Stegostoma tigrinum: one gene and its partners. The protein of the gene in region 2 interacts with the protein of the main gene of each other region in a pairwise test. Links are inferred from orthologs where the notes say so. Each region holds a gene or a part of one and is shown on either strand. Other genes may lie near its edges.

Region 1 (7,779 bases), on a different chromosome or scaffold from region 2:
TAAGTGTAAAAGATAAGGTTTAAGAATGTTCAGCAATCTTCAGCCAGAGGTACCGAGTGGGTGATCCATTGTAGCCTCCTCCGACTGTCCCCAGCATTTTAGATATTAGTCTTCAACCAATTTGATTCACTCCAATTCACATGATTCCTTCAGGGAATGGTCTTGTTGAAAATTGTAAGGATATATTCATTTTGGGCTTTTGTTTCGGATAATGGCCCTACACAATCTACTAGTAAACAAATGAATGTCTCCTCAAAAGCCAGTGTGGGAATCAGGGGAGCTGGTCTCATTACATGTTGCAGTTTAGTGACAAATCATCAAGAATGGCATGTTTTACAAAACTGCACCTCTCTATGTAAATTTGACCAGGTAAGAAAACCTGTTTATGAATAGCTTTCAGAGCCCCATATGTCCTGCCATGGGCATTTCACGTACCACTCAAAATCCCCCTATGATAGCTGAGTGATATCTCTACCTGATGAACAACGACACATTTTTCATCTGCAGGTCTGTGAGGGACTCCACTGCCTCATTCTCACTTTAAATAGCACTCTGGGTCTCCTTCAGCATCTACCTCAAGATGAATTGGCTGTGATAATTTATTTAATTCAGGATCTGCTTCTGAGTTTGAGATAGTGAATTCATTGTAGCTTCAAGGAGGTGGTCACACTGCAGGTTTAGTCATATAGATTGGTGACCACCAGGAAAGGTAGGCAAGTAATGCAAGGGTCTCCTGTGGCACCTCTCAAATAAGTTGGATACTGTTGGGGGGATAGCCTCTCAGGGGCAAAATAGCAGCAGCAGCCTGGTGTTTGGCACCACAACTGGATCTGCTGTAAAGATGGGTATGGCAAAGAATTATGATAGCGAACTGTATAGTCAAGGGCATAGACATTTCTGTAGCTGCAAACAAGATTCCAGGAATGGTGTGTTGCCTCCTTTGTGCCAGGGTCAAAGACATCCCAGAGCAATTCCTGGAAATTTTCAAAGGAAAGTGTGAGTAGCGAGAGGTTGTTGTATACATTGGAATCAATGATATAAGCACAAAAGGGGATGAGGTCCTACAGAGTGAATATAAGGAGTTAGGCAGGAGGTTAAAAAAACAGGGCCTCAAGAATAGTAATCTCTGGATTATTCCTGGTGCCAGGTGCTTGTGAGAGTAGGAGTAGGAGGATAGGGCAGATGAATGTGTGGCTGAGGACACAGGGCAGGGGGCAGAGATTCAGATTTTTGGATCATTTGGATCTCTTTCAAAACAGGAATGACTAACACAAGAGGGGCAGGTTGCACCATAATTGGAAGGTGACCAATTTGCTGGTGGGAGATTTGCGAGAGCTATTCAGGAGGGCATAAAATAGGCCGGCAGGGGTTGGGACCCTAAGCAGTAGTGAGAGAACAGAGATGGTTGAGGCTGGTACAGAAGCTAAAGAGATCAAGTTAAGTAGATAAGGCAGACAAGAGCACGACAGGGAATGAGGGAACTGCATTTATTTCAATGCAAGAGACCTGACAGGGAAAGCAGACCCGAAATGTCAACCTTCCTGCTCCTCTGATGCTGTTTGGCCTGGCTGTGTTCATCCAACTCTACACCTTGTTATCTCAGGGCATAGATGGGCACATGGGTCTGGATATTGTAACTATGACAGACACATGGCTGAGGGAGGGACAAGACTGGCAGCTCTGTTCTGGGCTGCAGATAATGTAGGAAAGAAAGAAAGGGAGATAAGAGAGGGGGAGTGGCATTTTTAGGGAAAATATCATGACACTTCTTAGACAGGATATTCCTGAGGGATTGTCCAATGAAAGTTATGTGAGTGGAACTGAGAAATAAGAAGGTGGAGATCACTGTAATGAGATTGTACTGTAACCACCACACCCACCCCCAACAGTCAGAAATTGAGGAGCAAATATGTGGGGAGATCACTGACAGGTGTAAGAATAATAGTGCTGTAATAGTGAGGGATTTTAACTTTTCAAACATTGACTGATATAGTGATAAGGGCTTGAATGGGGAAGATTTTGAAAACTTAATCAATATGTAGATGACCATACAACACAAGGTGCAAAACTTGGCCTCCTTTGGGAAATAAGGCAGGGCTAGTGGCTGATATGTTAACAGGGAAACACTTTGAGACCAGTGACCATAATTCTATTAGTTTTATTTTTGTTATAGAAAAGGATAGGCCTGATTCACATATTAAAGTTGTAAATTGGGGCAAGGTCAATTTTGATATATTAGACAGGAACTTTCAAAAGTTGATCGGGGAGGTCCGTTCATAGGTGAAGGGCTATCTGACAGGTGGGAGGTTTTCAAAAGTGAGACAACAAGAGTTCAGAGCCAGCATGTTCCTGTTGGTATGAAGGGCAAGGCTGGTAGGGGTAGGGATAGGGAACACTGGATGATTAGAGATATCAAGATTCTGCTCATGAAAAAGAAGGAGGCATATGTCAGGTATAGTCAGCTGACACCAAGTGAATCTGTGGAAGACTATGTAGCAGTACATTTAAGAGGGAAATCAGAATGACAAAAAGGGACGTCATTGTAGATTGGGTAAAGGAGAATGCAAAGACATTCTATAAGTATACAAATAAGTAACAAAGCAGAGAAGAAGGCCCCCTAAAATTCAACAGGCTGTGTATGCATAAAGACACGGGAAATGGATGAGATCCTCACCACATATTGCACTGCCATATTTACTGTGGATAAAGATATGGAAGCTCGGGAACTCGGGGATGTAAACAGTGATGTCTTGAAAAAAGGTCCAGCATTACAGAAGAGGAGATGCTGGAGATCTTAAAATGTATAAAGGTAAATAAATCCCTGGGACCTCATCAAGTACATTACGTTAAATTAGATTCCCTACAGTGAGGAAACAGTCCCTTTGGCCCAACAAGTCCACACCGACCCTTGAAGCATCCCACCCAGACCCATCCCCCTATGACCCACACACTTCTGAACACTACGGGCAATTTGGCATGGCCAATCCACCTAACCTGCACATCTTTGGACTGTGGGAGGAAACCGGAGCACCCGGAGGAAACCCACGCAGACACGGGGAGAATGTGCAAACTCCAAACAGACAGTTACCCGAGGTTGGAATCGAATCTGTGTCCCTGGTGCTGTGAGGCTGCAGTGCTAACCACTGAGCCACCGTGCCACCCTCAGGACATTGTGAGAAACTTGGGAAGAAATTGCAGAGTCCATAGCAGAGATCTTTGTACCATCAACAGCCATTGGTGAGGTGCTGGAAGACTGAAGGTTGGTTAACGTGCTACTAGTTGAACAGTAACTATAATAACTAGTTACAAAGGCTGCAAGGAAAATCCAGTGAACTGTAGACTGGTGAGCCTCACGTCAGTGGTGGGTAAGGGATTTTGAGAGAAGGATCTACATGCGTACGTAAAACCGAGACTAGATTACCGAGGAAGATGCTGGATAGGCTAGGACTTTTTTTTCCCCCTGAAGTGTAGGAGGCTGAGGAGTAAGTTCGTCGAGATCATAGAAGCGTGGGGCGCATAGATACGGTGAATAGTACCAAGTACCCTCTGAATTCTTTCTCTGCTAATCTGACTATCCCAATCTACATAAAAATTAAACTGACCTCAAAGGCTAAAGTCACTAAAGGTTGGTACAATGCGTTTGTTACTTACCCTTATTATTTCCGGATTTATTCAGTGCAAACGTATCGCTACTGTTAGATTGCCTATAGACCATTCCGCCCAGTGGCTTCTTTTCCCCTTGTTTTCTTTTAACCTGAACCTATACTGATTCTACGCACAGAAAAAGAATAGACAAAAAGTTCAGAGGGGAATAGAAGAGGAAAAACGAACTTTAAGTTTAAAAGAAAAATCAGGAACAAACTTGAAGACCGACTATCGGCTTAAGGTTCACCATCAGGGCTCTATAGTTAAACCTTCAGTTGTGATCATGAGAGTTGTGTGCCTGCTCGAATATCACGTTTGTCGAGATCTTTTGTGTAAAGGAGAAATTTGCCTCGCTTTTCCAAAAACACTCACAAAAGGTCATCATCACTCTTGGATAGAGACAAGAACATTCTCTTGGTTGAGATAGCAAGAATTGCAGATTCTGGAGACGGTGGTAACAAGGTGTAGAGCTGGTGAATCACAGCGGGCCAGGCAGCATCACAGGAGCAGGAAAGTTGACCTTTCTGGTCGGGACCCTTCTTCGGAAACAGTCTCTTAGTGCTCAGTGATAAAAAATAATGGGAACAGCAGAGGCTGGAGAAAGTCCCTGGGCCCGCAACCCTACCCATATCACCATAGGTCCGCCCCTGCACATGTAGCTCCGCCCTAGAGCTTTTGGCCTCGCCCTTGGGCAAGTTGTTCCGCCCCGGTGTCGTTGCGAATGCCCTTGACCACGTAGCCTCGCCTCTGAGCATGCAGCACCCCATTATACTTGTAGCCCCGCCCCTGATCTTGTGACTACGCCCCTGGCAGTGTAGCCCCGCCCCAAACAACGTCATCCTGTCTCGCCCCGGGCATGTAGCCCCGCCCCTGGGCTTGTGGGTCCGACCCTAGCTGTGTAGCCCCGCCTCCTGGACATGTAGCCCCGCCCCCTTGGAGAGGCCCTTCTCCTCCGGAAAGCCCTCGATCTTCGGAAGCGCGCCCCGGGCCGTAGAGGCAGTTTGGCCTTGTCTTGGCCTCACTTTGGGCCCCGACTCCTACCGCAGACCTTCACCCTTTCTTTCCTCGGCTGCATTTCTGTGATCGGGTTCCTCCCCCAGCTCTCGGCTGGTGCTGTCACTGGGGACAGGATGAGAGCTGGGACAGGGGACCGGCTTAGGAGGTTGTCGGTGCTGGAGCATCCTCGGAGCTCAAGAGTTTGTGAGGCCGGCGCTCGCCCTCTCCTCACCCATTCGATCTTCACCGATCCGGCGGCGGGGGCTGAGGGGAATCAATGTGTGTGGATGAGGCTTGGGAAAACGGGTGTGGACGTTATAGAGAGGAGAGAGACGACCAAACGAAGATGTGGTGATGGAGAAATGTGTCCTTCCACGATGATGAATGAGGTAGGGTTGAGGATCAAGGATAGGGAGAGGTGAGTGGAAGATCGGGATGGCTGAAAGCGTGTGATGGTGACCGAATGGCACTGGTGTTTGGGATCACTGTTGTTGAATATCAGATGTTGAGTTTGGGTATGTGTGGAGCAGGGTGGGTGCAAATCTGTGACCCTCTCAGTAAACATTCTTGTGGGGATGAGGACCATAAAATGAGAGTCTCAAAGTTGACGTAAAATTCAGACATGCTTGGGTCTCAAACTGGAATCTTCAGATCTGAAACTAATTGCATTGATATCAGGGATGAATGAACATTTGTCGATAAGAAATTAGATTAACGTGTTTTATAGTAGATAGGAGATTTTTCATTCTTTTTAATTAATAGAATTTGGCTGTCACCAACCAGCACTTATTACCCAGCTATACCTGCCCTTGAAAGTTGGTGTTGAGTTGCCTTCTTGCACTATCACAAACTATTTGCTTTATGTACTCATATAATGCCATAAGGGATGGAACTTTAGGGATTTTAATCCAGTGACATTGAAGGAATGACAATATAGTTCCAAGTCAGGATAGTGAATGGCTTGGAGGGGAATATGCAAGTGGTGGTGATCCCAACTATGCTGCCTTTGCCCTTCTAGATGATAGTGTTATTGGGTTTGGAAGGTGCTATTGGAGGATATTTGGTGAATTTCTGTAGTAAATGTTGTAGATAATATGCACAGTTGGTGGTGTGGGGAATGGATGTTTGTGAATGCGGTGTCATTCAAGTGGGTTATTTTGTCCTGGATGGTGTTACCTTCATGGCTGTTGTTGGAGCTCCACTCATCCAAGCAAGTGGGGATAATCCATTACATTCCCGATTTGTGCCTTGTAGATGCCTAGTAGATGATGGAGAGAGAGATAACAAGCTGTGGAGCTGGATGAATACAGCAGGCCAAGCAGCATCAGAGGAGCAGGAAGGCTGACATTTCGGGCCTAAACACTTCTTCAGAAATGGGGCAGGAAAGGGGGTTCTGAAATAAATAGGGAGAGAGGGAGAGGCAGATAGAAGATGGATAGAGGAGAAAATAGGTGGAGAGGAGACAGACAAGTCAAAGAGGCAGGGTTGGAGCCAGTAAAGGTGAGTGTCGGTGGGGAGTTAGAGAGGGGATAGGTCAGCCCAGGGAGGACGGACAGGTCAAGGGGTGGATGAGGTTAGTAGGTAGGAGATGGGTATGGGTCTTGAGGTGGGAAGAGGGCATAGGTGGGTGGAAGGACAGGATAGGAAGGCAGGGACAAGCTGGGCTGGTTTTGGGATGCAGTAGGGAGAGTGGAGATTTTGAAGCTTATGAAGTCCACATTGATATCTCTGGGCTACAGGGTTCCCAAGCAAAATATGAGGTGCTGTTCCTGCAAACTTCGGGTGGCATCATTGTGGCACTGCAGGAGGTCCAGGAAGGACATGTCGTCAAAAGATTGGGAGGGTGAGTTGAATTGGATCATGACTGGGAGGTGCAGTTGGTGAGTGCAAACTGAGTGTAGATGTCCCGCAAAGCAGTTCCCAAGCCTCCGTTTGGTTTTCCCAATGTAGAGGAGGCCACATCAGGCACAGCAGATACAGCATACCACATTAGCAGATGTGCAGGTGAACATCTGCTTGATGTGGAAGGTCTTCTCGGGCCTGGGATGGGGCTGAGGGGCGACGTGTAGGGGCAGGTGCAGCACTTCCTGCAGTTGCAGGGAAAAGTGCCGGGTGTGATGGGGCTGGAGGGGAGTGTGGAGTGGATAAGGAGTCACGGAGAGAGTGGTCCCTCCAGAAAGCAGATAAGCGTGGGGAGGGAAAATGTCTTTGGTGGTGGGGTCGGATTACAGATGGCGGAAGCGTTGGAGGATGATGCGTGGGTTGGGTGGTACGTGAGGACGAGGGGAATTCTTTTTTTAGTTGTTATTGCGAGGATGGGGTGTGAGGGATGAGTTGTGGGAAATGTGGGAGACACGGTCAAGGGCGTTCTTGACCACTGAGGAGGTGAAGTTGTGGTCCTTATAAAACGAGGACATCTGAGATATTCGAGAGTGGAATGTCTCATTCCTGGGAGCAGATGCAGCAGAGGCGAAGGAATTGGGAATAGGGGATGGCATTTTTGCAGGGAGATGGGTGGGAGGAGGTGTATTTTAGGTAGCTGTGCGAGTCAGTGGGCTTGAAATGGGTATCAGTTTCCAGGTGATTGCCAGAGATGGAAACAAAAAGGCCCAGAAAGGAGAGAGAGGTATCAGAGATGGTCCAGATGAATGTAAGGTTGGGGTGGAAGGTTTTGGTGAAATGGATGAACTGTTCGAACTCCTCGTGGGAGCACGAGGCGGCGCCGATATAGTCATTGATGTAATGGAGGAAGAGATGGGGTTTAGGGCCAGTATAGCTACGGAAGAGGGGTTGTTCCTCATAACCTACAAAGAGGCAGGCATAGCTTGGGCCCATGTGGGAATCCATGGCCACCCCCTTAGTCTGTAGGAAGTGGGAGGAATTGAAAGAGAAGTTGTTAAGGGTGAGGATGAGTTCACCTAAGCAGATGAGGCTGTCAGTAGAGTGGGACTGGTCGGGCCTGCAGGACAGGAAGAAGAGGAGGGCCTTTAGGCCATCTGGATAGGGAATGCAGGTGTATAGGGACTGGATGTCCATGGTAAAGATGAGGTGTTGGGTACCAAGCAGTTGGAAGTTTTGGAGGAGGTGGAGGGCGTGGGTGGTGTCACTGACGTAGGTGGGGAGTTGCTGGACCAAGGA
Region 2 (8,069 bases):
ACTGCTTATTCCATGGGTTTCCTGCAGCCAAGATGAAGTTTTGCACTTCTTCCTGGATAAAATGGACATTTTCTCACTTTTCAGTCTAAAACACCGAGGACTTCCTTGTGTACATTTTTAAAATAAAGTTCTTTTGATGCAGCCTTTATAAATCTTTCCACTGAAATTGTGGCTTGCTAACACAGCTACTTTCATTAAGACCTCTATGTTTTCTTGGTGTGGCTTTTCACCTGTTTCCTACCCCATATTCTGGCCCTAGTAGTCATTAACGGCCTGTGAATAAAGTTTTGTCTTTGGATTGCTGAGCTTGCCTGTTTGTTCCTGTCTAAAATGGTGGACTGAGAAGACCATGGCTCTTGCAGCTGCTCCTGAGATTGCAGGCTGACTTCTAGATTTCTTACAGTTATTACATTTTAATTGTATATGATTTCTATTTTGATTCTTTTATAAACAAAAACGTTTTAAAAAGTGCACTTTTTTTTCAAACGGAGTTCTGTAACGGAATTTTTGGAAAGGCCTATGCATAGCTTACTTTTAGATTTTTTACATTTACTACATTTCAGTATTATAAGATTTTTAGTTTGATTTATTTTTGGTTCTTTTACAGTCAAAAACGCAAAAACAAAAAAAAAGCACATTTTTTCAGAGTTGTGTTAACAGGCCTTTTGGAGAGACATGTGGATGGCTCATTTTTCTCTAAAATTATATGCCTAAGAGGAGAGTGTTTTTTAACATTGCTGAAGAGATTTTTTTCAAATCATGGAGGACAGTTCTTTTTAAATGTAGTAGTGTTTATGGAGCTTTTGGAGAGGCCTACATGCGTAAAGTGAGATCTTTTAATCAGAAGATTGAAGTCTGTCTGCTGGACCTCTGGAAGACTCATTTCTTAATTTAATTGTTCAGCTAACTGATTTATTTTATTTAAGATTTATATGTTTTTCTTATTCCTTATTTTTTGCATGCTTAACATTAATTCTTTACATATGGAAAGGTGGTATATTTCATATATAAGGCACTATTGTAAGCTGCTACTTTTTACGCTTAATGCCATTGAGGGCATACAAGAGACACAGTGTTAGGTGGTTAATAGATTTAGAGATTCCACAGCAGGATCAGTTAGATAGATGGATGACTGTCAAGAAATTTCAGAAGTTCAGAAGTCTCCCATGGTTATTTCTCTCTCAAACAAATGCTCAGCTTTGGATGCTGTTGAAAAGGATAGTCTCTTAGACGAAAAGTAGAAGACGCAGCCAGATCATGGGCACTAAGAATCAATCTTATGTTAGGCTGGCTTTGACAAAATTTGAAAGAATAATTGTTAGAGATGACTTTCCTATAAAGGGCACAGACAGGAGATCCTGCAGCAATGAACATTAATCTATGATATAATGTTGCTTTCTTGGTGCCACGATTAAGGATGTTTTAAAATGTTTGAAGCATGTTGTTAAAAGGATAAGTGAGAAACCAGAAGTTATTGTACACATTGGTAGGAATGACAAGGTTAGGGAAAAGATCAGGGCTTTACAGGGTGAATAAGGGTTTAGATAGAAGATTACAAAACAGAACCTCAAAAGTAGTAATCTCTGGTTTACTCCCGCTGCTAGACTCAAATGAGGGAAAGAATAAAATGATGAAGGAGATAAATCAACGGCTGAAGAGGTGATGTAATGTTCAGGGATTCAGATTCTCAGATCATTGGGATCTCTCCGAAGGCAGAAAAGACCTGTTCAAAAAGGATGGGTTTCACCTGCAATGGAAAGGGACTGATATCTTACAGGGAAGATTTGCTAATTCTATTAAGAGAAACTGTAAACTATTTGGGGAGGGAGAGGGTTTGGGGGATGGGGGTGAGGCATCCTAAATAGCAGGGTAAATAGAAAGATAAATGAAGATGGTTTTGAATCTGAAAAGAACAATTGGAAAAGACAGACAAAAGCAAGTCAGAGAATGAAGTAACTGAAGAATTATTTCAATGGAAGGGGTCCTATAGGTAAGGCTAATGAACTTGGGGCATGCTTTCAACATGAGATTGGGACACCATAGCTATGACAGAAACTTGGCTGAAGGACGGACAGGACTTGCAGCTCAATGTTCTAAGTTTTAGGTGCTACAGGAAGGGAAAGAGACGTAAGAGGAGGGGGAGTGGCATTTTTGATTAAGGAAAACATTACTGCTGTAACTAGAAAAAATATTTCTGAAATATCATTCAGTGAAAATATATGGATTGAAATTAGAAATGAAAAAGGAACAATCACCTTGATGGGATTGTAATATAGACCTCCAGCAGCCAGGAAAATTAAGGAACAAATATGTAGAGACATTTCAGATGTATCTAAGAATAATAGTTATAATAATGAGATTTCAATTTTTCAAACATTGATTAGGACTACCACTGTATTAAAGGTTTGGATAGTTTAGAATGTTAAATATGTTCAAGAAAATTTTCTTTATCAATATGAAGGAGCAAAACTTGACCTTCTCTTGGATAATAAGACAGACAAGTGACTGAAATGATAGTATGGGAATACTTTGCGTCAAGTGATCATAATTTATTTGTTTTAAAATAGTTATGGAAAAGGACAAACCTTCCATAAAAATTAAAGATTTAATTGAAGAAAGGCCAATTTTAAAGATATGAGACAAGAATTTTCAAAAGTTTACTGGAGTAGACTGTTTACAAGTAAGGGGATATCTGATAATTGTGAGGTATTCAAACATGTGGTAACGAGAGGTCACAGCTATTATGTTCCTGTTAGAGTGAAAGGTAAAACTAATGGGATTAGGGAACAATGGATGAAGAAAGATGTTGAGGTCCTAGTCAAGAATAAACAAGTATCATATATTAGATATAGAAACTGGGTTCAAATGACTCTCTTGAACAGTATAAAGTATGTAGGGACATTCTTAAGAGGGATATTTAGGAAGGCAAAGACAGGATATGTGATAGCTTTGGCAAATAAAGTTAAGGATAATCCAAAAAGATTCTACAAGCCATTAACAGCAGAAGAGCAACTAGAGAGAGAGAGTAAGGCCCTTTAAAGATCAACATGGTTATCTTTGTGTTGAACCTCAGGAGATGTGAGAGATAGTAAATAAATATTTTGCATCTGTTTTTACTGTGGAGAAAAATGGAAGTTAGAGAACTCTGGAAAATAAATATTGATATTTTGAAAACAGTTCACATTACAGAATAGGAAGTGCTGGATGTCTTAGAAAATATAAAGGTGGATAAATCGCCAGGACCTGATCTAGTCTATCCTAGGATGTTGTGGGGCCCCTTGCATAAATATTTGTATCATCTATTACTGTGGGTGAGATGCCAGATGACTGAAAGTGGCTAATTTTGTGTCTTTATTTAAAAAGGGATGTAAGGGGAAGCCTGGGAACTATAATCCTGTGAGTATGACTTTGGTGGTGGGTAAGTTGTTGGAGGTGATTCTGAAGAATAGGATTTATATGCATTTGAAGTAAGTAATGATTAGGCATAGTAAGCATGGTTTTCAGTGAAATTGCACCCCACAAATTAAATTGAGTTTTTCAGGAGTGACAGTGTGTGACAAATGTGATAATGGAGAGTTGTTTTCTGGACTGTAGGCTTGTGGCCAGCAGTATTCTGCTAGATTCGGTGCTGGGTCCACTTTTGTTTGTCATTTATATAAATGATTTAGATGAAAATATAGAAGACATGGTTAGAAAGTTTATGGATGACACCAGAAATGGTGCTGTAATGCACAGTGAAGAAGGTTATCCAAGATTATAAAGTGATCTCGATCAATTGAATCAATGGGCCAAAGAGTGGCAGATGGAGTTTAATTTGGATAACTGTGAGGTTTTACATTTTGGTAAAACAAACAAGGGCAGGACTTACACAATTAAAAGTAAGGCCTTCGGTAGTGTTGTGAAACAGAGAGGCCTAGGGCTTCAGGTACATTATTCTTTGAAGTTTGCATCACATATATGGTTAAGAAGGCATTTAGCATTCTAGACTTCATTGCTCAGGTCTTTGAGTGTAGGAGTTACATTGAAGTTGTACAGTACATTGCTGAGGCCACTTCTGGAGTACTGTATCCAGTTCTTGCTGCCCTCTTGTACAGAGGATATTATCAAACTGGAGAGGGTTCAGGAGAGAGATTTACTTTCAAAGTGCAAATGCTGGCTGTTAAAGTGGCAAAAACTCACTTGAATTTTTAAAATTTTCTTCTGGATATTTTTTCTTTGTGACACCACTGCAGCCATATAGGATTTTCCAAGGTAACCACTTATGGTAACTGGGTGAATTTTGACACCAACTAGTATATAGTACCAGTTAAGGATTGTTTGCAGTAGTTCACTGCCTGTAATCCTGTCTTGGGTTTATGTAAAGATTAGTGGTAGAAGATAACAAACAAACTAGAACACAAATTGTTGGAGAAACACAGCAGATGTGGGAACATCTAGAAGAGAAAACAAGTACTGTGACCCACCTTCAGAACAATTCCGAAAAAACTCGAAAAACCCGAAATAGAAACCTTTCAGTGAAGCGTAAAAGCTCCTTTAGATTTAAAAGAAGAACTCTTAAGAAACATAAACTTATACAACAACGTGTTTTGGAAATAACTATCTAATTGGTTCCACTCCCTTATTCTTTATTCAAAGCCTTTTAAATTTGTCCTCGCTATTTATTCTATTCCCATTTAGAGATCTTTATAAAACCGCGCAGCGAAACCCGTTCCGTATTAGTCTTTTCCACCATCCTTTCAGGTAATACATTCATTCCAGACCACAACTCATCCAATATATCGTTTCTCCACTGAAGGGTATCCAATTCCAGAATGTTACATCAGTAAACAGGTCAAAAGTAAAAGTGAGATTTATTACAAATATAAAGCATGTAATCATAATGCTTTTGACGCAGTTGGGCCACTCAAAAACAGAGCACTAAACCCTCAAAATTCGTCCAAACAGAACCTTCAAAATCGAAGGTTTTGTGAAGCTGTAATAACAAAGTCGCCACTGCGTTTGTGTAAAAGAAAAGGACTGATTCGCTCACTTCCTCAAATCTCTGCAAGAGACTGACCCTTTGGCATAACGAACTGAGAGGACTCGGTGTCGTTGTCTCCCTCAATTTGTCGTGCACGGATCCGCGCGCGCGGGGTTTCGACCACCATTGGAGACGAGCAGTTGGGTGAGGGTCGCACGATAATCAAACCGAACGGACAACAACGGCTGGAGGAACTGTCAAAGTGGCGCGAACGGAAGCAAAGCGCGCGGGACGGGGGTTATTCAGTGGGGGCCGTTAGCTCGCGCCTCGGCCGGTCTGGCTGATGATGTTCGATGGAATGGATGTAATACGCGAATCTTTCGCGGATCGGCCGAGATCAGTTTCTAGCAGTGATCCTGGGCCTCGGGGGCAAAACCCGCAGAAAAGAGGTATGACTCGTAATACGGAACGGGTTTCGCTGCGCGGTTTTATAAAACAAATTGCTGACATCCTGCGTATGTATCCAGGGCTCTTTTTCCCCCTCTAACCACACCCTATATCCATCTGAGATTGGGTTCAGTACCGGAGTCCTGTTATTGAGTTGTATTTGGACCCGCCTCCCCTTTACGTTAGACATGATAACTACTGATTCGCCGAACCCTGCCCTATGGACGCCGATTAATTGCAAAATCTTTCTCATCAGCTTAGTTAAGATAACGACTAGGGCATGAATCTGGGATCTTCTGCCCTTTACAGTTCCGCTCCATCGGGGAGCTGGGAGAATTTATTCAGCACTTTACCAAAGACCTTGTGGCATAGATAGCACATTTTAAGAAAAATATTTTCTTTATTAATGTAAGCACGCATTTACGTGGAGTTTTATTTCAAAATTTTGCTGTTATGATTGATCTTTACAGTTTACATTTGTCACATATTGCTTATTTCTTTTATTTTAAATAATAATTCCTTAACTTTGCATGTACTGTATACGGTTGGTAACAACTTTGCAAATATTTATTTTCACTTTTAATATTTTTGTAGTGAAGGGAAAACCACATTTAATCGTACGGTAATTATATATACCATGATATTCTGTACCAAACCTTTGTCAAAGTGAGCTATTCTAAATAGATAATATTGCAACAATTCCAAAAATACTGCCTGAAATAAGAGCATAGATAGCACAATTTCATATTCACTATTATAAGTAAACTACCTGTGATGATGTTTTACTGATATGAGATAACATATCCTCTGCACCTGCTGTATGATCTGATTTCCAAACTAACTTGTACAGTAAGTAACTTGATAACTGAAATTGCACTTTCTAGAAGTTTGCCTTTCACTGAATGCTCCCATTCTAGATTTGTATGAATTGCTATGCAGAAAGCTGACCGTGGTAACTACTGAAGGTCACATAAAAATTTGCTTCTTGAAACCCTTGTCTTTTCAGTCCTCTCCATGCTGCTGCTCTTTATATTTGAAAGTCCACTGTCAACTTTTATTTTAGCATGAGGCAGTACTGACAAATTCCCATTCTTGAAACAGCTGCCAACTTTGATTACTTTCTCCAGTAAATTACTGGAGCTAAACTGAAAGGCATCTCTGATAATAGAAGTAGCTTTAGGAACTGAATCTTGGTTTGATTCAAACTTAGGCCTGCTTTTTAGGCTACTTCCTACTTTTCATTCACATGCTTCCCCTTGGTAGCTGTCATTTTAAATGCCGAAGTGTCAGATATTGTGAAGCCTTCCAACAGCTCTGAAAGGTAACTTGTACAACAGGAAAGGCGAATAAGGAACAAGCCAAAAGCTACTTTTGCTTTTGAGAATATATAGGGGCTAATTGAATTTCCAGCATCTAAGCACTTACAGCCAATGACTTCAACCAACTCTATTCCTTTGGAAGTGGGTGTCTAATAGGTGTTTTGTTTTGAGCTCAACGCTGCCTCACTCTGTTGTGGCGAGGTTGATGTTCCTTTTGCTCAACGTCCTCTTCTTTCTCATCAGCAGAATGTTGCTGCTCTCACAGCTCCTTAATTACCCATCCCCATTTTGCTTGGGTCAGTTGTCCAGAGTACAACGTGCAAGGATTATGTGGTGCAATCCATTATCAGAGTATTGCAAGAAATCCCCAAATGTTTTCGTGCATGGAAATTTCATCTGAGGAAGCCTAATGTCTCCCAAAGGAAGAATGGGCTGCATTGTATTTAGCTTCAGTCTGAGTCAGAGGTTACGAAATGGAGTCATCAGCCATGATGGCAAAGGGTAATTGTTGGCTCTTAATAAAGCAATTGGTCTTTGGAATGAAGCAGGAACCTGAGAATTGTCAAAGATATTGGCATCATGGCAGTTTCCAGGGCAGCAGCCTCAGACTTCCAGAATGTTTTTGCAGTGATCACAGGTGAGTTTGACATTGACTGGATGGAACCCTTTCTTATTAATGAAGTTAATCAAAGTTCATCAAAGCATAATATAACGTGAACACCCACATAAGTATACAAAATACTTATTTTTAAAAATGTATTTGTAATAAATGACTATCACATATCAGGATGCAAAATAGATTTCAGTGTTTGGGCCAGTAAAAGGAGCTGGTTTTCTCTTAAGCTGAAAGTACCAAATTGGAAAACATTCTTCAAAATATTGTCTACTTATCAGGCTTCTTTAGAATGAATAGCCAATGGACGCTAAATTATGCATTGTAGTTCAAGAATAAAATTACAACCATACCAAGAGTTTAAGGCACTCATCTATTTGTTTTGAATTAATATTAGGGATGTAAATTGTGCACTCCAGAGTAAACCCATTATGGAAATTTTAGATAGCTGGGATTAATATTAGTTTAACAAATGTTTTCATCATGATGTACTTTAAATTGGTAAAGGTATTAGAACATAGAACTGTACAGCACAGCAACGGCCTCTTCGGCCCACGATGTGCCAAACATGACACCAAATTAAATTAATTCCTTCTGCCTGCCTTTGGTCCGTATCCCTCCATTCCTTGAATATTCATGTGCTTATCTAAAAGTCTCTTATATGCCCCATTGTATCTGCCTCTACCACCATCCCTGGTGACAAATTCAAGTCTCCTACTACTCTATGTCC
Region 3 (7,507 bases), on a different chromosome or scaffold from region 2:
AATGGCACTGACATGATCCTGACAGGAGCTGTTTGATTTCCTCATTCTCCGGCATATCCTGGATTGCATTGTTGATTTTCTCCCGAATTACCAACACCGCATTCTGCCATTTCAGCTTGCAATGCCGTCTATCCACCAACCAATCTAAGGAAGGCAAGAAACAAAATACTTGTAAAGTACACTCGCCAGACATTCAGGAAACATTATTTCAGAAATTTCAATATTCCCTTTCACTTGTTGTGCACATTGATATACTCATTTGCCTTCTGGACTGGGCTACACATGGTTCCATGATGAGATACCCTACAAAACCCAGGCTAACAGTCCTGTTTAACATTGAGGGTGTGTGTCATTATCAGTGTCAAAGACGCCCTCTTTTGTATGAGGCTTCAGCCTGAAATCGCATTGAAATAATGCACCTGAGAGGACAAAGAAAAGCAGCAATGTTTTCCCTGCAGGCCTGGCCAATATTTAAACCTCAGTCAATGCTGCTAAAATGCAGATGTTGTTTGTGGGAGCTTGCTACGGAATAATTGGCTGCTGTGTTTCCTGTATCATCCCAGTGACTACACTTCAAAACATACTTCACTGGCTGTAATGCAATTATACAATGTCCTGAGGTTATGAAAGGTGCTATGTATGTGCATTCCAAACTGTACAGGATGCTCCTTTGAACTGACTATAGGGCTTCAGCAATGTGCAGGTTGGGATTGACCTTCATCCAGTCCCACATCAACCCCACCAACGTTATCCTAACCTTCATTCAAAACCCACAGTGAAAGCTGACAGTAATCAGGGAGCAGGGAAGGTAAAATCACTGGGTCGGTGCATTAGGCAGTAGCTCATTCCAACGACATTTAAAAACTGAAACATAATACCTATCACATATACTTTTAAAACATGATCATGTTATTGCCAACCTTTTAGGATTTTTCAAAAGAACTGTTCTATCAGGATTACTGACATTTAAACTCATTGCAAAGCCCTGTCCCAGGAATTCTAAACATTAAAAATTGAACATCGCAGCAAACTGAGATCAGAGATAATGGGAACTGCAGATGCTGGAGATTCCGAGATAACAAAAGTGAGGTGCTGAATGAACACAGTAGGCCAAGCAGCATCTTAGGAGCACAAAAGCTGACATTTCAGGCCTAGACCCTTCATCAGAAAAATGAAGAAGGGTCTAGGTCCGAAACATCAGCTTTTGTGCTCCTAAGATGCTGCTTGGCCTGCTGTGTTCATCCAGCTCCACACTTTGTTATCGCAGTAAACTGACTGTATTATACTAGGGATAGTAGGAATTGCTGACGCTGGAGTCTGGGATAACAAGGTGCGGAGCTGGAGGAACGCAGCAGGCCAGACAGCACCAAAGAAGCAGGAAAGCTGATTTCAGGTCTGGGCCCTTCTTCAGACAAATGTACCAGCTCTTCCTTCCTATTCACTGCTGCATTCCAATCCTGCACCTCACCGCAGAGAGACTGTCAACTTTTCGGGGAACACCTTTCCCACAGGGGGAAACGTGAGAGCCAAATTGTGCATGGCAAATACACCAAAGGAATGTCGGTGCTGCATTTTGTGGTAGCTGAGACACTGAAGAAATAGCCTTCCATTTTTTTCCTCTCTCTCACACACTTCTGTAAACCCAAAATCTTGCTTGAACCCTGAAGACCTTCAGACCTTGAGACAAGATGCAACTTCAGATTCAGGACAGCTGGTGCCTCAGGAAGAGTATCCTCAGCTGACTCTGGGCAATTGCTACACACAGTTCAAAACATTCTCTGAAGTTTCAGACTACTTGACTACGGCTTGCATTAAGACTCATATCCACTTGGCTTCTAAAGTTCAAATCAGCAGCAAAGTGTATTCAAGTAAATTTAAGATCAGTCATAAGAGACCCGGGAAGAATGAGGAGAATTTTAATTTTGAATAACTTGTGATCTGGAATACACTGTCTGCAAGGCTGATACAATAATAACTTCCAAATAGAACTGAATACATGAATGTTTGCAGAAATGTGGAAAATTGCAGGGGCTGAAGCTAATTTCAGAGAGCTAGCACGCACACACGTTGGGTCAAATCGTCTCCTGTGCTGTATAGCTCATTGGAAAATGATTCACCACTACAGACAATTACCCAAGAGCTTGCTGGTCTGTATATCGATTGGCCATCTCCTTTGGTCCTGTAAGGAAAATATTTCAAACATTGAATGAAAATTTGAACAATGTGGGTCTATAGTTGGCAGCAAGGAGAGACGAAAGGGGATGGGATAAAGGGGAAAGGAAAGGGAGGTGGGGATAGAGGCAAAAGGGGGATTGAACAGACAGGGAATGGGGGGGAGGGGTGGTGGGGAGGGGTGGTGGGGAGGGGGGAGGGGGGGAGAGAGGGGAGGGGGGTGGGGGGGAGAGGGGAGGGGAGGGGAGGGGAGGGGGGTGGGGTGGAGAGGGGAGGGGTGGAGGGGGGGTGGTGGGGAGAGGGGGGAGGGGGGAGAGGGGTGGGGGGGAGGGGAGGGGGGGGAGAGGGGAGGGGGGAGAGAGAGGGGAGGGGGGTGGGGGGGAAGAGGGGGAGGGGGGGAGAGGGAGGGGAGGGGGGGAGAGGGAGGGGAGGGGGGTGGGGGGGAGAGGGGAGGGGAGGGGAGGGGGGTGGGGTGGAGAGGGGAGGGGTGGAGGGGGGGTGGTGGGGAGAGGGGGGAGAGGGGTGGGGGGGAGGGGAGGGGGGGGAGAGGGGAGGGGGGGGAGAGAGAGGGGAGGGGGGTGGGGGGGAGAGGGGAGGGGTGGAGGGGGGGTGGTGGGGAGAGGGGGGAGGGGGGAGAGGGGTGGGGGGGAGGGGAGGGGGGGGAGAGGGGAGGGGGGAGAGAGGGGGGTGGGGGGGAAGAGGGGGAGGGGGGGAGAGGGAGGGGAGGGGGGGAGAGGGAGGGGAGGGGGGAGGGGGGGGAGAGGGGGGGGGGGAGAGGGGGGGGTGGGGGAAAGAGGGGAGTCGGGGGGGGAGGGAGGGACACTGACAGAGTGGGATCTGTAAGACGGGTCGAGGACTGAGGTGCAGGGAGGGGGCGGTGCGCGAGGTAACAGACTGGGAAGGGGAGTGGGGGGTAGAGGGTGAGGGTTGGTTAGTCTGCCCCCGCCCCTCACTCACCTCCATCCCGCTCGGGCCCTACCCCCTCACCAAACCTGCAGCGGCACCCAATCAAAACGCGGGCTGGAACGGGCCAATCGCATGTCATCCGAAGTACCAACCAATCAGATGTGGCCTTGTTGCACAATGTGGACCATTCAGATATGAGGAGGTCGGCCGCGTTGTGCATTATCGGACCAATCCGAAGTCGTACATTCACGAAGAGCCAATTATATGCCAGATAGGTTGTAATGTCCAATCACAGAGGGCGCAATCAACATTAAATGGTGGAAAGCGCATAAGCTTAACCAATGGTTAACGTTTGCGTAGCTGGACCAATCCCGGGAGAGAATGATTTTATTTTTTGTTTGTCGTGCGGTCGGTCGCACGGAGAGTGGGATGGGCGGGTAGTTAAACCAAACAGGTTGGAGGTTGTAGTGATAACAAAGTGTGAAGCTGGATGAACACAGCAGCATCTCAGGAGCACAAAAGCTGACGTTTCGGGCCTAGACCCTTCATGAGAGAGGGGGATGGGGAGAGGGAACTGGAATAAATAGGGAGAGAGGGGGAGGCGGACCGAAGATGGAGAGTAAAGAAGATAGGTGGAGAGAGTATAGGTGGGGAGGTAGGGAGGGGATAGGTCAGTCCAGGGAAGACGGACAGGTCAAGGAGGTGGGATGAGGTTAGTAGGTAGCTGGGGGTGCGGCTTGGGGTGGGAGGAAGGGATGGGTGAGAGGAAGAACCGGTTAGGGAGGCAGAGACAGGCTGGACTGGTTTTGGGATGCAGTGGGTGGGGGGGAAGAGCTGGGCTGGTTGTGTGGGGCAGTGGGGGGAGGGGATGAACTGGACTGGTTTAGGGATGCAGTGGGGGAAGGGGAGATTTTGAAACTGGTGAAGTCCACATTGATACCATATGGCTGCAGGGTTCCCAGGCGGAATATGAGTTGCTGTTCCTGCAACCTTCGGGTGGCATCATTGTGGCAGTGCAGGAGGCCCATGATGGACATGTCATCAAGAGAATGGGAGGGGGAGTGGAAATGGTTTGTGACTGGGAGGTGCAGTTGTTTGTTGCGAACTGAGCGGAGGTGTTCTGCAAAGCGGTCCCCAAGCCTCCGCTTGGTTTCCCCAATGTAGAGAAAGCCGCACCGGGTACAGTGGATGCAGTATATCACATTGGCAGATGTGCAGGTGAACCTCTGCTTAATGTGGAATGTCATCTTGGGGCCTGGTATAGGGGTGAGGGAGGAGGTGTGGGGGCAAGTGTAGCATTTCCTGCGGTTGCAGGGGAAGGTGCCGGCTGTGGTGGGGTTGGATGGGAGTGTGGAGCGAACAAGGGAGTCACGGAGAGAGTGGTCTCTCCGGAAAGCAGACAGGGGAGGGGATGGAAAAATGTCTTGGGTGGTGGGGTCGGATTGTAGATGGCGGAAGTGTTGGAGGATGATGCGTTGTATCTGGAGGTTGGTAGGGTGGTGTGTGAGAACGAGGGGGATCGTCTTTGGGCGGTTGTGGCGGGGGCGGGGTGTGAGGGATGTGTTGCGGGAAATGCGGGAGACGCGGTCAAGGGCGTTCTCGATCACTGTGGGGGGAAAGTTGCGGTCCTTGAAGAACTTGGACATCTGGGATTTGCGGCAGTGGAATGTCTTATCGTGGGAGCAGATGCGGCGGAGGCGGAGGAATTGTGAATAGGGGATGGAATTTTTGCAGGAGGGTGGGTGGGAGGAGGTGTATTCTAGGTAGCTGTGGGAGTCGGTGGGCTTGAAATGGACATCAGTTACGAGCTGGTTGCCTGAGATGGAGACTGAGAGGTCCAGGAAGGTGAGGGATGTGCTGGAGATGGCCCAGGTGAACTGAAGGTTGGGGTGGAAGGTGTTGGTGAAGTGGATGAACTGTTCGAGCTCCTCTGGGGAGCAAGAGGCGGCGCCGATACAGTCATCAATGTACCGGAGGAAGAGGTGGGGTTTGGGGCCTGTGTAGGTGCGGAAGAGGGACTGTTCCACGTAACCTACAAAGAGGCAGGAATAGCTGGGGCCCATGCGGGTACCCATGGCCACCCCCTTAGTCTGTAGGAAGTGGGAGGAGTCAAAAGAGAAGTTGTTGAGGGTGAGGACGAGTTCGACTAGGCGGATGAGGGTGTCGGTGGAGGGGGACTGGTCGGGCCTGCGGGACAGGAAGAAGCGGAGGGCCTTGAGGCTGTCTGCATGTGGCATACAGGTGTATAGGGACTGGACGTCCATGGTGAAAATGAGCTGTTGGGGGCCAGGGAATTGGAAGTCCTGGAGGTGGTGGAGGGCATGGGTGGTGTCACAGACGTAGGTAGGGAGTACCTGGACCAAAGGGGAGAAAATGGAGTCCAGATAGGTGGAGATGAGTTCGGTGGGGCAGGAACAGGCTGAGAACAATGGGCTGACCAGGGCAGGCAGGTTTGTGGATTTTGGAAGGAGATAGAAAGGGGCCGTGCGGGTTTGGGGAACAATGAGGTTGGAGGCTGTGGGTGGGAGGTCCTCTGAGGTGATGAGGAATGGTGTTGGAGATGATGGTTTGGTGCTTGGGGGTGGGGTCATGATCAAGGGGACGGTAGGAGGTGGTGTCGGAGAGTTGGCGTTTGGCCTCGGCGATGTAGAGGTCAGTGCGCCATACTACCACTGCACCTCCCTTGTCAGCAGGTTTGATGATGAGGTTGGGGTTGGAGCGGAGGGGCTGCCCATTCTGCGGGGGAGAGGTTGGAGTGGGTGAGATGGGTGGAGAGGTTGAGGCGGTTGATGTCTCGATGGCAGTCGGAGATGAAGAGGTCGAGGGAGCGTAGGAGGCCTGGGAGTGGTGTCCAGGAGGAGGACTTGTGTTGGAAGCGGGTGAAGGGGTCAGTGGAAGGAGGGTTGGGTTCCCAGTTGAAGAAGTAGGCATGGAGGTGAAGACGGCGGAAAAACTGCTCTATGTCCGACCGTGACTGGTATTCGTTGATGTGTGGTTGTAGGGGGACGTGTGGTTGATGTGTGTTCTGTGGGCTAAAGGGCCTGTTCTGTGCTGTACTGTTCTATGTTCTATGTTCTAAATCCAATATTGATCTTGCTTTTGTACAGCCACATTCCTGTGTGCCTCACTCTGTCAAAACATCTTACAATCTGTTTCTCCTTGTTTGTTATGATCTACCTGTACTGCATGCAAAACAAAGCTTTTCATTGTAGTTAGGTACATGTGACAACAATAAATCAAATCAAATCAAAGATTAAACTATATAAAGAATTAGGTGGGGACCATTCCTGTAACCTGAATGATCAGACAGCCTTTTACAAATATCCCTCCATTGATGACCCAATTAAATATTTGCAACAGTGATAATGGGAACTGCAGATGCTGGAGACTCCAATAAAATGTGAGGCTGGATGAACACAGCAGGCCAAGCAGCATCTCAGGAGCACAAAAGCTGACGTTTCGGGCCTAGACCCTTCATCAGAGAGGGGGATGGGGAGAGGGAACTGGAATAAATAGGGAGAGAGGGGGAGGCAGACCGAAGATGGAGACAAAAGAAGATAGGTGGAGAGGGTGTAGGTGGGGAGGTAGGGAGGGGATAGGTCAGTCCAGGGAAGACGGACAGGTCAAGGAGGTGAGATGAGGTTAGTAGGTAGATGGGGGTGCGGCTTGGGATGGAAGGAAGGGATGGGTGAGAGGAAGAACAGGTTAGGGAGGCAGAGACAGGTTGGACTGGTTTCGGGATGCAGTGGGTGGAGGGGAAGAGATGGGCTGGTTGTGTGGTGCAGTGGGGGGAGGGGACGAACTGGGCTGGTTTAGGGATGCGGTGGGGGAAGGGGAGATTTTGAAACTGGTGAAGTCCACATTGATACCATTAGGCTGCAGGGTTCCCAGGGGAATATGAGTTGCTGTTCCTGCAGCCTTCGGGTGGCATCATTGTGGCACTGCAGGAGGCCCATGATGGACATGTCATCTAGAGAATGGGAGGGGGAGTGGAAATGGTTTGTGACTGGGAGGTGCAGTTGTTTGTTGCGAACTGAGCGGAGGTGTTCTGCAAAGCGGTCCCCAAGCCTCCGCTTGGGTTCCCCAATGTAGAGGAAGCCACACCGGGTACAGTGGATGCAGTATACAACATTGGCAGATGTGCAGGTGAGCCTCTGCTTAATGTGGAAAGTCATCTTGGGGTCTGGGATGGGGGTGAGGGAGGAGGTCTTGGGGCAAGTGTAGCATTTCCTGCGGTTGCAGGGGAAGGTGCCAGGTGTGGTGGGGTTGGAGGGGAGTGTGGAGCGAACAAGGGAGTCACGGAGAGAGTGGTCTCTCCGGAAGGCAGACAGGGGTGGGGATGGAAAAATGTCTTGGGTGGTGGGGTCGGATTGTAGATGGCGGAAGTGTCGGAGGATCGGATTGTAGATGGCCCTGGTTCTCACACACC
Region 4 (8,183 bases), on a different chromosome or scaffold from region 2:
CTAACCAGAGTTTTATAGAGCTGCAGCGTAACCTCGTGGCTCTTAAACTCAATTCCCCCGCCAGTGAAAGCCAAGAAAGTACACCTTCTTAACAACCCTATCAACTTGGTAGCAACTTTGAGAGATCTATGGATGTGGACCCCAAGATCCCTCTGTTCCTCCACACTGCCAAGAATCCTGCCATTAACCCATTATTCTGCATTCAATTTTGAACTTCCAAATGAATCACTTCACACTTTTCCAGGTTGAATTCCATCAGCCACTTGTTTGTCCAGCTCTGCATCCTGTCAATGTCCCGTTGTAACCTACAACAGCCCTCCACATTGTCCACAACTCCACCGACCTTTGTGTCATCAGCAAACCTGCTAAGCCACCCCTCCACTTCCTCATCCAAGGGTCATTCATAAAGATCACAAAGAGCAGAGGTCCCAGAACAGGTCCCTTTGGAACACCAGTAGCACCAAGCTCCAGGCTGAATACTTTCCATCTACTACCACCCTCTGTCTTCTATTGGACAGCCAATTTTGTATCCAGACAGCCAGATTTCCCTGGATCTCGTGCCTCCTTACTTTCCGTATGAGCCTATCATGGGGAAGCTTATCCAATGCCTTGCTAAAATCTATATACACCACATCCACTATTTGATCTTCATCAATGTGTTATGTCACATCCTCAAAGAATTCCATAAGGCTTGTGAGGCATGACCTGCCCCTCACAAAGCCATGCTGACTATTTCTAATCAAAACTGTGCTTTTCCAAATGATCATAAATTCTATCTCTCAGAATCCTCTCCAATAATTTGCCCATCACAGAAGTAGGACTGACTCATCCGTAATTCCCAGGATTATCTCTATTCCCTTTCTTGAACAAGGGAATAACATTTGCCACCCTCCAATCATCTGGTAGTACTCCAGTAGACAGTGAGGACGAAAAGATCATTGCCAAAAGCACAGCAATCTCTTCCCTCGCTTCCCATATCAACCTTTGGTATGTACCATCAGGCCCAGGGGACTTATCTATCCTCATATTTTTCAAAATTTCTAGCACATCCTCCTTCCTAACATCAACCTGTCCAAGCATATCAGCTTATTTCGTGCTGGCATCACAAACTACAAGGTCCCTCTCACTGGTGAATACTGAAGCAAAATATTCATTAAGGACCTCCCCTACCTCCTCTGACTCCATGCACAAGTTCCCTCCACTGTCCCTTTGGCCATCCTCTTGTTCCTCACATAAGTATAGAATGCCTTGGGGTTTTCCTTAATCCTATCCACAAAAGCTTTTTCATACCCTGTTCTAGCTGTCCTAAGTCCATTCTTCAGTTCCTTCCTGGCTACCTTGTAAACCTCTAGAGCCCTGTCTGATCCTTGATTTCTCAACGTTAAGTAAGCTTCTTTCTTCTTCTTGACTAGATGTTCCACATGTCTTGCCCTCCTTTCCTTGCCTCAGTGGGACAAACCTCTCCAGTACCTGTAGCAACTGCTCCCTAAACAACCTCCACATTTCTGTTGTGTATTTCCCTGAGAACATCTGTTCCCAATTTATGCTCCACAGTTCTTGCCTAATAGCATTGTAATTCCCCTTCTCCCAATTAAATACTTTCCCATACCGTCTGCTCCTGTCCCTCTCCATGACTATAGTAAAGGTCAGGGAGTTGTGATCACTATCACTGAAATGCTCTTCCACCGAGAGATTTGACACCTAGCTTGGTTTGTTGCCAAGCAATAAATCCAAAATAGCCTCCCCTCTAGTTGGCCTATCTACATATGGAGTCAGAAATCCTTCCTGGACACACCTGACAAAGTCTGCTCCATCTAAACCATTTGCACTTGGAGGTTCCAGTTGATATTAGGGAAGTTGAAGTCACCCATGACAACATCCCTCTTACTTCTGCACCTTTCCAAAATCTGCCTCTCAATCTGTTCCTCAGTGTCTCTGTTGCTATTGGGGTGTCTATCGAAAACTCCCAATAAAGTGACTGCTTCTTTCCTGTTTCTGATTTTCACCCATACTGACTCAGTAGACAAACCCTCTTCGATGATCTCCCTTTCTGCAGCTGTGATACCATACTTGATTAGCAATGCCACACCCCAACCTCTTTTATCTCCATCCCTATTTCTTTTGCAACATCTAAACCCCGGAACATCCAACAGCCATTCCTGCCCTTGTGTTATCCATGTATCTGTAATGGCCACAACATCGTACCTCCAATGACAGGTATTGATGGAGGTGATCATGAGAATATCTTCCACATAGCAGACATGTCTAATACAGGAGGCACATGTTTATGGCAAGAAGTAAACAGCTTAGGAGAGATCTGAGAATTTTTTTCACCCAGAGGATGCTAGAAATATGGAACATGCTGCCTCAGAGGATGGTGGCACACAACATTTAAGAAGCATCGGGGTGAGTTCTTAAATGCCAGGGCATAGTAGGAACTGAGTGCAAGTAAATGGGATTAGTGTAGTTTGAGTTTTGATGTTTAGTATAGCCAGGTTGGACTGAAGGGCCTGTATGTATGACAAATCACTTTATAGGCAATGAATAATTGAAAATAGGTTGCTTTCAGCACAGCCAACATATTTCAAGACAGGACCTGGGGTTTGAAAATAGGTAATAGACAAGAAAGGGGGTGTTCAGGTTCCAAAACTGTTCAACTTGATGTAGGGTGCCTTAGCAGAGCTGAGGTGTTATTCCTCAAGTGTTGAGCTTTGCTGGAGCACTGCCACAGGCCTGATACAGAAATGTTGGTATGGGAACATGGTGGTGTATTAAAGTGGCAGGCAATTGGAAGCTCCTGGTCATTTTTGTGTTTTGTTGTGAAGGTGGGGGAGACAATAGTGTAGTGGTATAATCACCAAACTATTAATCCAGAGACACAAGTAATGTTCAGGGACCTGGGTTCACACCTTATCACAGCAAATTGTGGAATTGAATTCAATAAAAAGCAAAACTGGCATTAAGATTTTAATGATGGCTATGAAACCATTGTTACTTGACAGGAAAAACTCATCTAGATGCCCTTAAAGGAAGGAAACTGTTGTCCTTGATAATAAAATGTGAGGCTGGATGAACACAGCAGGCCAAGCAGCATCCTGAGATGCTGCTTGGCCTGCTGTGTTCATCCAGCCTCACATTTTATTATCTTGGAATTCTCCAGCATCTGCAGTTCCCATTATCTCTGAAACTGTTGTCCTTATCTGCTTAAATATGACTCCTGACCCAGAACAATGTGATGCCCTCTTAACTGCCCTCTGGTCTAGCGTGCTCTTATAAGCTGCTTTGTGGGCCTTTTTTGGTCTTTATATTTGTCCAATTCTGTGGAATCTGTACTTTCTATGTGTTTTTATAAGCCCCTTTTAATTTTATGTTGCTCCTTACCTCCTTAACTGTCCATGGTTGTGTTTTTTTTAATGAGGTGTAGCTTTTCCTTTATACGCATATAAATTGCTTCTGAATTGCAGTAAATGTTTCTTTGAATGCCTTCCTCTGTTCTTTGGCTGTTTTACGTAGTAACAGAACTTCCCACTTCACTGTGGATAGTCTCTGCCACATCCCTTTAAAATCTATCTTATGTAAATCCAAAATTCTAGTATCCAATCTTTGCTTATCTCTTACAAACACTACATGAAACTCAAATGTGTTATGATCACTATTTGGCAAATGCTCACGAACAACCAGGCCACTAATTAAATGAGACTCATTTCTTGTTACTAGATTCAATATTGTTTGTTCCATTGTTGCATCCAAGACATATTGACATAGGATACTATCTCAAAACTATCTCGAAATTCACAACCTTTCTGGCAGGTGCTTGTCTGTCTCTCCCAGTCTATCTTGATCAAAGTCCCACACTAATACTACTCTGCCTTTGCTACATAGTTGCCAAATTTGAATATTTATACAATCTAGCACTTCTGAGCTGCTATCAAGTGATCTATATATGACACCTATTGTAGCTTTAGTTCCTTTAGGGTTCCTCAGTTCTTTTCATTTTTTTGTTCTATATTCATCTATGGGATGTTGGGTTCACTGGTGGGCTAGCATTTACTGACCATCCCTAGTTGCCTTTGAGGAGGTGGTCAGAAGCAACCCATACTGATCTTACCAGCATCCAGCCCTTATCCATTAGTCTGAGCATCATTTATTTTATTTCCCTGGATGTGAGAAGCAAGGGTGAAGCGGAATTTATCAAAACTTACTAAGCACACGTGGATAAGTGCTGGAATAATCTTAAAAGGGGTAGGGAAAAATTGTCAGAGCATTGGGATTGAATGGATATGGCTCTTCGAGTGAGGTGGCATTGGAATGCATGCCAAAGGGACAGATTTAGTACAGAATCTGAAAAATTAAGTACCACAGAGGGCTATTACGACTGGGTTATTAAATGTATTCGTGGCTGAGATAAATTTTCATCAGCAACGGAATCAAGGGTTATGAGGATAAAGCAGGAAAGTGGAATTGAGGATTATCTGATCAGCAGAGAAACTTGATGAGCTCAAAGGCCTACTTCTTCTGGGTCTTATGGCTTTATTTCTGTGCTATAAAATTATCCCTAGGGGTTTTCGTGGAGGTAGATAGCATCCCAGAGTGCACTGTATGAGGGGAGGGTAAGTGGATGATGATTCTCAATGGGCAAATCACTCGTCAGATTGAAGGGTTAGAGAGAGAAAGATATACATCTTCCTTGAGAAAGTGTAACTTGAACTCGGGCTTACTCGCTCCGAGGTCGAGATACTAGCACTGCACCACAAGAGCCCTGAAAGAGAAAGTGCCTTCAGCAGCTATCAAGGTTGGTTGTGCACGACGCCAAGACCAAGTTAGACAGAGCAGCGGGGGCGGGCGCGTGCGCGTTGGTGTGGCGCAGCCTCGATCGTACGGAAAGCGGTCAACACGGTCACTCCCGCCTCACAGCGAGGGAGTAAGGTGTTGGGCTGCACATTAGTCTCTAATTGTCTATGTTTTTTGTAAAAAAAAATGTTCTGATCCGGTACAGCGGAGTACTTTTCTTCATCGAAGAACATAAAACCATCGAAGAGTTTAAGGGAAAATGTTGAGGGCTTCATGGAAAGTAGCTCCGCCGCTGAAGGTAGGAAAGACCGGGCGAGACGGACCGATTCTGACATTAAACAGGCCTGACAGAAGATATTTCCTTTTGTTGCTGTCTCTAGAGTGGCCTTGCCTAGGTTCACCGCTTCCGTTCGACGGTGAACCATTGACCACAGAGAGAAACGGGCTGGTTTTGGGGTGTGGGGAGAGGAGCTAGAATCAGGCCGTTAGTTCAACCTACCTCAGTTGTCCGGGTGAGGTGGCGATTGACGTGAGTTTGCACCAATCGGCAGAGGAGTTACAGACTACCGGCCAATCAGCAATGAAAAGGCGGGTGGTGGCCCGGGGAGAAATCAAGCTCGGTTGAGCAACCATGACACGAGTGGGAAATGCAGGTTTCTTGATGGGGAAAAAAGAGGAAAAGCCAGACTTTATTTATCGCTTAAATTAAAGACGCATTTGCTGTCGTACGTCTTTTATTCTCTTCCCACCCCCTTAATCTGGTGACGAAGAGGAACGCGAGACTCTTAAATGTTATCTGATTTTTACAGAGAAAACGACGTGACCTTGTCCATGAATATAGTAACGTCTTGTATAGTGACCAGGAAAAAGCATGAGCCCATTTTGTTTTAAGACTTTTCAGTTCCTGATTTCCCATGTACTGCAATATATTAGTTTAATATGTGAAATCACGGATCTCAGAATGCCAAAGCATTCTTCAAAGAGTTTGGAAATCTACTGAATATATTTCAGAGTAATGGTATTTTCTTTGAAAGCTATTTCTTTTGTGAATTGAAGACTGAGACCTACATTGAAAATATTATGTGTAGGACAAGTCAAATCAGCACATGGCTTCGGTAAAGCTTTTGTTTAAAGGTATTTACATTGTTTCCCTCCTTCCACAATGTTTAGCCTTATCACTGTTGTTCTTAATGTAATTCTCTTATGTGCAGCAGAGAAAAAATGATAATAATGTACCATCAGTGTAACATTAGTCTAATTGTGAAGTTGACTTTTGCCTAATGGGCCAGAGTAAATTGAATATGCCTGGTGATCGATGGGATTTTCAATAAGGGCTGTTGTGGTGTGGTGGTAGTGCCTCTACTTCTGGGCCAGAAAGTTTGAGTTCAAGTAGTACTTGGCACAGCATTGTGTCATAACATGTCCAACAATGTTGATTAAAACAATAGTCATAAATGGTCTACATAAGTAACCATGTAAGTAATGTTCCTAAAGTAAAATACTGCAAATGCAATTGGCCTGAAAACGGCAAAGGCTGGGAAAACGCAACAGGTCTGTGGAGGTACGGTTAAGTTTTCAGGATGTGAGGAACAAACTATCACTTCAAGTTTAATTTATATTTTGTATTTTTTGATAGGAAGTTTTAGTTTCATTGTGAGGGTTTTGTGGGCTTTGTACCTGGAAATTTGGCAGCCTTTTTCTATACATCCATTTGTGATGTGGTTTTACAATCTTTACAGTGAACAGATGGGGGATTGGTTGTTCAATGCATTTGTTTTAAAAAAAAGACAAAAATTGTCCTCCAGCAATAAGGTTTCAGGTTGTGGTAGAAATTGGAAACAGGAATATTAAATACTCTAGTAAGCAATCCTGCAGCACTGCTGACAACTGAGTTTACAGAAACTCCAATTTCTGTAGATAGTATTTAGTTTACAATTTATTTAGGTGTTTCGGTAGGGATACTATCTGCAGAAAAGCATCAACAGAATGCCCTGGAATTTACCAGAAGGAAACAGGTTGCAGTTGTGCCAGTTTGCACAAGCAGTCAAGCATGGAGATGGTGGTGAATCTTTGAGATTTGCCATTGCTGGAATAAAAAGAATATTGTAAATGCAGAGTAATTTTGATGTTACTGAAACTTTTGTGGAATGTTATTTAGTGTTGTATGGTTTGTTACTCCCTTGTTAAATGTACACTTGTGAAAGTGTTCAGTGCTGGACCTCCACTTTCTAAACAAAAAGAACAAAGTTAGGATCTCAAGCTACATTTTCCTCTGGAATCTGACTTTTTAACATGTTAACATTGCAGGATCATAACAGGGTTGACTTTTCTTCAGAAATGAGAAGAAATAGACTTGAGTTTTTAAGCTGATAATGTTTCATACTTTGCAGTTGGTGCCATGTACATTGCATGGTTTGGATTTGTAATTTGAATCTGCAATACAAAATGATCACACTTACTTTGTATAGTTCTTAGTTCTATCAAGTGGATGTAGATATTTTTCAGAGCATTAATTAATTACAACATTAGTTGTTTGTACCATCTGTCTTTGTCTGTCTTCCGTAATTACGACTGTGCCTGGGTGTCCTTGGAGGAGGAGCATGCGGTGTTGGCTGACACATTTGAAGCTTTGTGCAACCTGTGAAAGTCTGTGAGATTCTTAGAAGACGTGACAACATAGATACTGCAAGGTTGTTTCCCATTTTGCAAGAGTCTACAACCGGAGGGCAAAATTTCAGTGAAGGATCACCCATTTAATAAAAATGCGGAGGAATTTCTGATGGGCGTTGTGAATCCGGTATTGTGGTTGGCTGGCTTGCCGAGCTGGTTCGTTGTTCCAAAGATGTTTCATTACCCTGCTGGGTAACACCATCAGTGCAGCCCCCGATGAAGCGCCTGGTGTGTTTGTCCCACTTGGTTTTTAAACTCTGGAGTCGGTTGAGCTGGATTGCCTCACTTTCGGTTTGCTTTCGTAGTGGAGTGTATATGGGGTCGAGTTCTGTGTGTTTATTGATGGCTTTCTTCGTGGAGTACCAGGCTTCCAGGAATTCCCCTGCCTGTCTCTGCTTAGCTTGTCCCAGGATTTTGGTGTTGTCCCAGTCAAATTGGTGGTTCTCCTTATCCATGTGGATAGAGATGACTGGGTATTAGTCGTGTCTTTTTGTAGCCAGTTGGTGTTCGTGTATCGATGTTAGTTTCCTTCGTGTTAGTTCGATGTAGTGCTTCTCACAGTTTCTGCAGGGAATCTTATGGATGGCATTGGTCCTATCCATAGCGGGGAGTGGGTCTTTGGTTCGGCTGAGCAATTGTAGGGTTGATGTGGGTTTCTGTGCCACTCTGATGCCTGGCAGTCATATGAGTCTTCAAATTAGTTCCAAGGTGTTCCTGATGCA

Evidence for each region.
Region 1: the proteins of disc1 (region 2) and KAT8 regulatory NSL complex subunit 1-like interact in a two-hybrid assay, tested with the Homo sapiens proteins (2 studies listed by BioGRID and IntAct). The link is inferred for Stegostoma tigrinum from reciprocal best matches to the Homo sapiens genes DISC1 and KANSL1.
Region 3: the proteins of disc1 (region 2) and cdk5rap3 interact in a two-hybrid assay, tested with the Homo sapiens proteins (2 studies listed by BioGRID and IntAct). The link is inferred for Stegostoma tigrinum from reciprocal best matches to the Homo sapiens genes DISC1 and CDK5RAP3.
Region 4: the proteins of disc1 (region 2) and immt interact in binary tests that used the Homo sapiens proteins (3 or more experiments, as listed by UniProt). The link is inferred for Stegostoma tigrinum from reciprocal best matches to the Homo sapiens genes DISC1 and IMMT.

What each region holds. Positions count from the first base shown.
Region 1 is NC_081384.1:40,721,039-40,728,817, reverse strand, and holds the start of KAT8 regulatory NSL complex subunit 1-like, read left to right. Parts: upstream 1-4,595; 5' UTR 4,596-5,030; exon of another isoform or gene 5,031-5,059; intron 5,060-7,779. UniProt on the Homo sapiens protein: Non-catalytic component of the NSL histone acetyltransferase complex, a multiprotein complex that mediates histone H4 acetylation at 'Lys-5'- and 'Lys-8' (H4K5ac and H4K8ac) at transcription start sites and promotes transcription initiation.
Region 2 is NC_081357.1:97,266,472-97,274,540, forward strand, and holds the start of disc1 (disrupted in schizophrenia 1 protein), read left to right. Parts: upstream 1-5,054; 5' UTR 5,055-5,303; coding exon 5,304-5,409; intron 5,410-8,069. UniProt on the Homo sapiens protein: Involved in the regulation of multiple aspects of embryonic and adult neurogenesis. Required for neural progenitor proliferation in the ventrical/subventrical zone during embryonic brain development and in the adult dentate gyrus of the hippocampus.
Region 3 is NC_081384.1:3,047,815-3,055,321, reverse strand, and holds the start of cdk5rap3 (CDK5 regulatory subunit-associated protein 3), read right to left. Parts: upstream 3,220-7,507; 5' UTR 3,136-3,219; coding exon 3,130-3,135; intron 2,180-3,129; coding exon 2,134-2,179; intron 145-2,133; coding exon 13-144; intron 1-12. UniProt on the Homo sapiens protein: Substrate adapter of E3 ligase complexes mediating ufmylation, the covalent attachment of the ubiquitin-like modifier UFM1 to substrate proteins, and which is involved in various processes, such as ribosome recycling and reticulophagy (also called ER-phagy).
Region 4 is NC_081354.1:168,485,504-168,493,686, reverse strand, and holds the start of immt (MICOS complex subunit MIC60), read left to right. Parts: upstream 1-4,858; 5' UTR 4,859-5,050; coding exon 5,051-5,089; intron 5,090-8,183. UniProt on the Homo sapiens protein: Component of the MICOS complex, a large protein complex of the mitochondrial inner membrane that plays crucial roles in the maintenance of crista junctions, inner membrane architecture, and formation of contact sites to the outer membrane.